Macaca mulatta: one gene and its partner. The protein of the gene in region 2 binds, or shares a complex with, the protein of the main gene of each other region. Links are inferred from orthologs where the notes say so. Each region holds a gene or a part of one and is shown on either strand. Other genes may lie near its edges. The genes, in order: DCP1A and PAK1.

Region 1 (3,811 bases), on a different chromosome or scaffold from region 2:
GGTTCAATTCTGTTGTACATTTGTCTTTGGAACCTTCCTGCTAGTCCCCTTCAAGTTTTCATCTTTCCCTAGCTGTGAAATCTTAACCAGGTTCTTTCTTTTCTCTGAGCCTTTCTGTGATTCAGAATAAACTGAACTAGAATTTATATTAAAAGTCTAGCAAAGCAATTTCAAAATAATAATGATTGAGTCTAAAACAGATACCTGCCTCTCTCTCCCTACCCCCATATTAGAAAGAAAAAAAAAAAGATATATATTTGGGGAAAAGATAATACATAGACTAGCTCTGTAAAATAATGTTTTTCATTACCTCTGTTGTTTTATTACTGCATGGGTGGTTGTCTTTTATGACTGGTTCTGTCCTCTTTCCCAACCCCCAGAAGTTCTAGATTTTGTACAGTGTCTTGTTTGAGAGTTCTTTAGAAAGCTTGGATTATGCATAATGGCATATTTTTTATTTTTAACTTATTCAAAAATTCATTATGTTTAAGATTGGTTTGCAAATTGCAACTGTTTTGTTAGGCAGCTTCTGGGGCCTAAAGACAACTGACAGTATATGATAGTCATGGGGTGCTTGTTTTCCTGGATTCCTCTAAGGTCTTACTCTGACAAGGACAGGTTCCTTCCCTTGTTTTCTAAAGCTTGAGTCAGCAGGAGTTATTACTGATATCTGGTCTTCTCCCTTTTTTTTTGCATTGAGTTGCTTTTTAAGGATTGCCTTTCTCCATTGATGCCAATTTAAAATAATTTGTCAAATACTCTTCCAAATTTTGATACAAAGCCTTGAGATCTTATCTAAATGCACTCCATTTTTTTTCTTCTTTTAAGTGTAATTCTTTGATATTTGTACACCAAGCTCTTCTTTCTTAGACACTTTGTTTGTTCGCTGCTATTCATCTTTCTTCTTTTAAAAAGAAAGGGATCGGCCAGACGCAGTGGCTCACGCCTGTAATCCCAGCACTTTGGGAGGCCAAGGCAGGTGGTTCACGAGGTCAGGAGATAGAGACCATCCTAGCTAACACGGTGAAACCCCATCTCTACTAAAAATACAAAAAAATTAGCTGGGCGTGATGGTGGGTGCCTATAGTCCCAGCTACTCGGGAGGCTGAGGCAGGAGAATAGCGTGAACCCAGGAGGTAGAGCTTACAGTGAGCCGAGGTCAAACCATTGCACTCCAGCCTGGGCGACAGAGCGAGACTCTCATAAAATAAATAAACAGATAAATAAATAGGAAGGGATCTTTACCCTCACTCCCTTCATTACTCTTCATTAGCAGTATAAATCTCTAGAAACTCTGTTATTAGAACCTTAGTTTCTATGATATTTGGAAAAGGTACTTTACTGGGTTTATTGTTATCATACAGAGGCACTGATTATAGAAAGTAGGAGATTTAGTGTAGTGGTGGCTGGATTTAATACAATTCACGGAGTCTAATATGGTACTGATTCTAATTAAATGAGACGCAAGAAACTGTGTTTGGAAAATGTGAGACTATTTTGTGTACCTTGGATAAAGGTATACCAGGATGTCAGACTATCACTTTGCAGAGATTACTTCGTATAGTAGAAGCTTGGATTTGGAGTCAAAAAACCTGAAACTGAATCCGAATTACATTATTTGTAACTCATTATTTGTGTGACCTCAGGCACAGTCCTTAATCATTCAAAGCTTGTCTTCTAGTCTGTAGAATAGTGTTAACACCCCATATATATCGTAGAGAAACAAACGAAAAACTATGAAATGTTAGGTACATGTGAAGAGTAAGGGATCATATACCGAATCCCTCTGATACGGGAACCAAGGATGTTTCCTATTGTAGGATTCAAGGCATTTTCTGTCTAACTCAGGAGCACTATGTAAAGATCTGTTTGGTGCAAGAAAAACCATTATTGTAATGATGGGCAGCCATTATAGCCAATCCAATGGAATGATATTTCATTCAGCAACTGTGTGTCTATATTGGGATGTATGTGTGAAAAAAGTAAGACAAAAGCTCCATTTGCATGGGGCTTACATCCTAGTGGGGGCAGGACAATTAATATTAAAAATAAGTAGTATGGATAAAAGAGAAAGGTTAGAGGTATTGAGCTTGGGAACATTAAAAAGGGTAGTTCAAGTAGGCCTCATGAAAAAGGTGACATCTGAACAAAGGCTTGCAGGAGATGAGATAGCTGTGCAGCTTCTGGGGCAGTAATCCAGGAAGAGGTCTTTAGGTAGAAGCACACATGCAGAGAGAGTGGCAAGGAGCCCAGTGTGGCTGGAGAGGAGGAGGTGGGGAAGAGCCATAGGAAATGAAGTCAGAGGGGGAATACATCAGGTGGGGCCTTGGTGGCCTCAGTAAGGACTTTGACCTTTACTCTGAGAGACTGTCTTTGGAGACTTCTCATCAGAGGAAGAATATAATCCGACTTAAATGTTTTGTTTACAGGTGTAAGTGCTTGATAATATTGTATGTTCTAACGTATTCTTTTCTGAAATGAAAATAAAGCACATAGTAGATAACATTTCTACAGATTAAATGGTAACTGCATATTTTTTTTTCCTTCTATTAAATCTAAGGTCAGCTTCCCCTTACCATGGTTTTACCATTGTGAATCGACTAAATATGCACAATCTAGTTGAACCAGTGAATAAAGATTTGGAATTTCAGCTCCATGAACCATTTCTTCTGTATAGAAATGCAAGCTGTGAGTATATCTGTTTTATTATAGTTATTACATTTAAAATCGAGTGACTTTAGTTTCTATCAATCCATTATTTAGTAAGTTTCAAATTACAAAACAAAATATGGCCTATACTTTATGATTATAAATGAGTCTGTTAGAAAGATCAGACGTTTTAAACTGGGCTCTGAGACCAGACGTGGTGGCTCACGCCTGTAATCCCAATACTTTGGGAGACCGAGGAGGGCGGATTACCTGAGGTCAGGAGTTCGAGACCGCCCAGGCCAACATGATGAAACCCCATCTCTACTAAAAATACAGAAAAAAATTAGCCGGACTTGGTGGTGGGCACCTGTAATCACTTGAACCTGGCAGGTAGAGGTTGCAGCGAGCCGAGATCGCGCCATTGCACTCCAGCCTGGGCAACAGAGTGAGACTCTGTCTCAAAAAAATAAATAAATATACTGGGGTCTGAAACTAGAAACATTCTTTTGTATATAATTTTGTTTACTATTTCGTTTACTAGCACTACATTTATGTTGTTGGTTTATTAAAATAAGGTTTATGCCTTTGTTTTTTTGCAGCTGTGGACTATCAGCTGCCCACATCCCTGAGCAACAGAACTTAGTTTGGGACACACAGGATGGGAGCAGATACAGATAATTCTTTCCACAAAGAAAGTATTATTTTTGCCCAGAATAGTGGTGGTGGGGTTTTTTTAAAAGATATTTATTACTTTTTCTACTTTATTTTGTCTGAATATGTTTCTAAGTAGGGTTTTTCTATCTGTTTATTTAATTGAGTGTCTGCTGGTTACCAGCACTGAGCCAAGAGCTATGGTGCTTTAATGTTTGTAACCTATGTGCTATAGGGAGGCAGTTAAGGCAACTAAGACTCAGAGATGCAAAACTATTACTCTGTTGGAGAGTTAGGATTATAACTCTTCTGCTTTTTAGTCCAGGGTTCTTTCAGGCATTTTTACAGCCTCTAATGATAATTGGATGCAGTCAGCAAAGCTAGATTGGCCCTTCCAAGAAACTACAGTACTAAAAAGTGTACTTGATTCCAGTGTGTTGGTATGGATATTGAAGGTATGGGTGTTTGAGGACAGTTTGTTCTACATTGACTATAGGGGGTATCAAAACTG
Region 2 (4,580 bases):
GGAAACAGTTTGGCAATTTATTATAAAGTGAAATACAGCAAGTCATTGAATAATGTTATTTTGTTACAATGTTGATGAGAAAAAAACCAAACAACTTCTTGGCCTGGGTCACCAGTGTAGTTTGGACTCTGTTTTCTCTGTGTACTCTGGTTTCCTCCCACATCCCAAAGATGTGCACATTTTTTGTCTTTTTTGTTTTGTTTTGTTTTTTCCTTTTTGTGGAGAATGGGGTCTCGTTATATTACCCAGGCAGGTGTCGAACTCCTGGGCTCAAGCAATCCTCCCGCCTCTGCCTCCCTGAGAGCTGGGATTACAGGCGTGAGCCACCGCGCCTGGCCAGATGTGCACATTAAGTTAACTGGCATATTTCAATTGTCCTGGTCTGAGTGAGTGTTGGTGTGCATGTGAGTGCACCCTGGAATAGTGTAGCATTCTATACATGGTTGGTTCCTGCCTTGCACCTTGAGCTGCTGGGATAGGCTCTAGCCACTCTCAACCCTGAACTGGAAAAATTGGGTAAATAATGATCTTGTTTATTTTGAGACACTTATCTTACTTATTTATTCCACTCACTCTGTTTATTCCACTCACTCTGTTTCCTGGCCTGGAGTGCAGTGGCATGATCACAGCTCACTTCAACCTCGACCTCCTCAGCTTAAGTGATCTTCTGCCTTGGTCTCCCAAATTGCTGGGATTACAGGCATGAATCACTGTGCCCAGGCTTTTGTTTTTTGTTTTGTTTTTGAAACAAGGTCTCACTCTGTCGCCCAGACTGAAGTGCAAAGACGTGTGGTCATGGCTTACTGTAGCCTTGACCTCCCGGGCTTAAGTGATCCTCCCACCTTAGCCTCCTGGGTAGCTGGGACTACAGGTGTGTGCTGCCATGCCTGGCTAATGTTTTGTATTTGGGTTTTATTTTTCTGTAGAGATGGGGTTTTGTCATGTTACCTTGGCTGGTCTCAAACTCCTAGGCTCAAGCGATCTGCCCACTTTGGCCTCCCAAAGTGCTGGGATTACAGGCGTGAGCCAAGGCACCTGGTCTGGCCTCTTTTTATTAATCTTTCTTAAATGTATGTATAAGTCACATTGATGTCAATGTTTGATATTAGAGGTGTTTTGTTCTTTAGAAGTTTGGTGATGTCTTGTGACCAGAAATATGCCACAGGAACTTAACTCTTGTTTATATCAATTCACAATCCTATATCAGTTCACAGTAGTTCAAACTTCTCCGTTATAATTTCTTTGTCTTCCTCCCATCCCCGTCCCCTCTCCCACCTCCCACACAAAGAAAACATAATACACGTCTGGCTCTGCGATCACACAACGTCGGAGAGTTTTCAACTTCAGCCCTTGACAACGAGTTTATAGATGCGGTGGTGCTTCGTTAACCTGAAGAGGATCCTCAGCCACGGAAGTTAGCCGTCTTTCTCCATCCTGGCTACACCATTAGCCCTCCCAGAAATAGTCCCAAAATTGTCTGGTAGAAATGCTGCACGGAAACTGCCGGCCAAGGACAGCGGACCGAGAAGAGTGACGCGACGCGATGACGTCACGCAGCAGCCGGGTGATTCCCCAGCCTCTGGCGTCACGCGCCGATGACGCAATCCCAGGCGTTCGCCCTTCTGCAGGCCAGGGTTTGGCCTCGCTCCTACGGGTCGGTCAGGCGCTCCCCGCCCCCTCCCACCTGCGGGAGGCGGGGCGGGCACGGCTCCGCCGGAGCCACCGCCGCGCCGGGGAGGGGGAAAGGCCGGGGGGGAGGGAAGGGGGAAAGGGCGGGGGTAAGGGGGAAGAAGGAGGAGGAGGGGAGCCAGTGAACTAGGCGGTCAGGCCCGCCGAGCGGCGTACAATAGCGCAGTTGTAGGCGGGGGAGGCGGCCCTGCCGCGGCTGCAGCCGGAGCCGAAGGTGGCGGCTGCACAGTAGACGCCCCCTCACGGCTTCCCCCACACGCTCCCGCCCCCTCGTTCGCCTATTGCGCCTCCCTCGCAGGCTCCGCCGTCCTCCTCCATAGACGCTTTCCCCCTCGGACTCTTATTCCCTTTTTCACGGAGCCCCGCGCTCTCGTGAGCCCCCTCGAAGAACCTGGTCTCCGCATCCAGTTCCCATCTCCTGCCTCAGAGGCCATCCGAGCTCTTCGCACCTCGCCCCTCAGCCCCCCACCGTTGCCCCCGCCCCGCGTCGCCTCGCTCCCTGCCGCCCCCCCATCATCCCTTCCCTCGCAGTTCCCCTGTCCTGAGGGGATCCCCGGCACTGGCGGCGCGGCGGCGGCAGGAGGGAGAAAGTGAAGCGGTAGCTCGCACACACTCGCGCCCTCACTCCCGGCTCGGCGGCACCCACCATCGGGAGGAGGAGGAGGAGCCGAGAGGAGCTGAGCGAGCGCGGAAGGTGAGAGCGGGCCTCCCGCCCGGTACCCCTCGCGTCCCGGGCTGCCAGGGTTGGGGCGCGGGGGTGCGGACGGGTGGAGTAGGGGTCTGGGCCCATTTATCTCGCGTGGCGGGGCCGGGCGCTTGGGCCGGCGGAGGCTCCAGGTAAGGTGAGGCGGGCGTCGCCCAGCGAGGCCCGCTCCCGTCGGGCCAACAAAGGCCCCCCGTGCGCTCACCGGCGGGGTCGCGGGTCTCAGACGCCGGGCGATCGAGAGACCCGGGAGAGGGAAGGGGCGGGGCGGGGCCAGGCCAGGCTGGGGCCGGGAGCCCCCACGGGTACCGGTCCGGGACCGAGTCCCTTCCGAACTTTGCAGTCCTGCAGAGCTCACCCTGTCCCACTACGAGGAGGCACAGCAAAGCGGCGCCCCAGTTCCTTCTGCATGGAATAAATGACCCCTTCTAGGCTTGGACAGTCACCTTTAGGGTTTTACTCCCTGAAAAATAAGGGCTGGTAGGACTTGACTTACGCAGCCCCTCCCCCACCGCGGAATATTCTGTAACTTGGGAAGTGAAAAACAACCGGGAAAGGAGATTTATAGTTATTTTATGTTCATTAATCCATTTGAAAAGACATGATTGTTGTAGTCTTCGCTATCCTATTTCAACAATACACATTACTGGGAATGTTTTGGAAGAATACTTGAGAAGTAGTGGGTTGTGAGCAACGTCCTTGGTTTTTAAACCCCTTGGATAATTGTTCTACTCTTAACAAAAACTGAACAGTGAAGGGAAGGGTTAGTTCTGTGGTTACTAATAAAAATTCAATTCGTTAGTCTTGACTTTAAGAATTGTTCTTGAGAAAAATCTTTAATTTTGCCTCCTACATTTGTGGGTTCTCTTTCAACTCTGTCAGGAGAAAGTAGGAATTATCAGTACAGATACCTCATCTCTTACCTTGTGGCTTCATCTACTTCTTGTGTGACCTTGAGCAGGTCACTTCCAGCCTTAAAAGCTCCAGAAGTTTGGTTTTATGCCCCAAAACGGGCAGGTAGCAAGCACCAACTCAGCTTTCAAGAGTCCACTGAAGAATTCCCACACTGTGAAATCTTTGCTGGCCTCCATCCTGTCCCTCCTCTCAGACAGAACTGACTTTTTCCCATTGGCCCGGTGAGATTTCTACCACAGCACTTACAACATTTTGGTTCCTATTTGGAAAATTCTAAATCACGTGCGTAGAACCCCCCCCCCCCCAACTAGCAACTATGCCTTTCAAAAAGGGTTTTGGGAACATTGACGCTGAAAACTTCCCATACTTTCCCTGAAGTTTATCCATACGCTTAACTACATGAACTCATGTGTCTGCCTTGGTGAATTTGCTAATTCAGTCAATTCATTTATCCAACATTACTGGAGTTTGGAGAGCTACTATGTTTCAGGCCTCTTGCTAAGGCTATGGGGATTCAGTCTATTAAGATATTCCCTGTCTTCAAAGAGCTCAAAGTCTAATGGGTGAGGTAGACAAGTAAACAATGAAGGTCTGCCCTAATCTCTGGGGGACTCCAGTTGTACAGGTAGTAGTGTGCAATAATTGAGGCTGCTGGACCTGTTTTACAAGTCTTCTCTTGGCCAAAGTGAGTCCTGCAGGGAAGGTGACCTGCCTCATCCATAAGAGGGCATTTGGTAAAAAGCTTGTTCAGTTCAATTCAATATACATTTACTAAGCGCATGTTTTGAGTCCCTGTGCTAGGTTTGAAGGAAGCAGTGCCTCAAAGGAAGGTACTGTGCATCCAGAAAGATTTCCGTGAAACAAAACCTTACCACATCAATGCCCCCTACCCCTGACTCTTCATATTCTGAAGATAAATTTCAGACTAACATGGAATAAGAAACTCTCAGGCATCAGACCACTGCCTGCCTTTGCAGCCTCACTTTCTGTGGCTCCCCTGCCACTCTCATCTTCGCTTTTGCATGTTCTGTTTTCTTCCTGGATGCTTCCCTTCCACCCTTTACCTGCCTGTGGAGGTGTCCTTGTTGGGCCTTTGCGATGCAGTCCCTTAGTCTTTCCTTTTCCTGCGTAGAATGAGTTGCTCTTCCATCCTCTGGCTCATACACATACCACTCTTATGGTCTTCTATAGCACTCTATTGTAATTACTTGAGCTTGTGCCTTTTTTCGGTAGCCTGTGAATTTCTTTAATAAGCCCTTTAAATGATTCTGAT

The links.
Region 1: PAK1 (region 2) and DCP1A share a complex: the UniProt entries of both Homo sapiens proteins name them as parts of the cytoplasmic complex. The link is inferred for Macaca mulatta from reciprocal best matches to the Homo sapiens genes PAK1 and DCP1A.

Annotation. Positions count from the first base shown.
Region 1 is NC_133407.1:116,924,832-116,928,642, reverse strand, and holds part of DCP1A (mRNA-decapping enzyme 1A), read left to right. Parts: intron 1-2,499; exon of another isoform or gene 2,500-2,519; coding exon of another isoform or gene 2,520-2,560; coding exon 2,561-2,688; intron 2,689-3,811. UniProt on the Homo sapiens protein: Necessary for the degradation of mRNAs, both in normal mRNA turnover and in nonsense-mediated mRNA decay. Removes the 7-methyl guanine cap structure from mRNA molecules, yielding a 5'-phosphorylated mRNA fragment and 7m-GDP.
Region 2 is NC_133419.1:77,888,381-77,892,960, reverse strand, and holds the start of PAK1 (serine/threonine-protein kinase PAK 1), read left to right. Parts: upstream 1-1,597; 5' UTR 1,598-1,654; intron 1,655-1,722; exon of another isoform or gene 1,723-2,220; 5' UTR 2,221-2,383; exon of another isoform or gene 2,384-2,526; intron 2,527-4,580. UniProt on the Homo sapiens protein: Protein kinase involved in intracellular signaling pathways downstream of integrins and receptor-type kinases that plays an important role in cytoskeleton dynamics, in cell adhesion, migration, proliferation, apoptosis, mitosis, and in vesicle-mediated transport processes.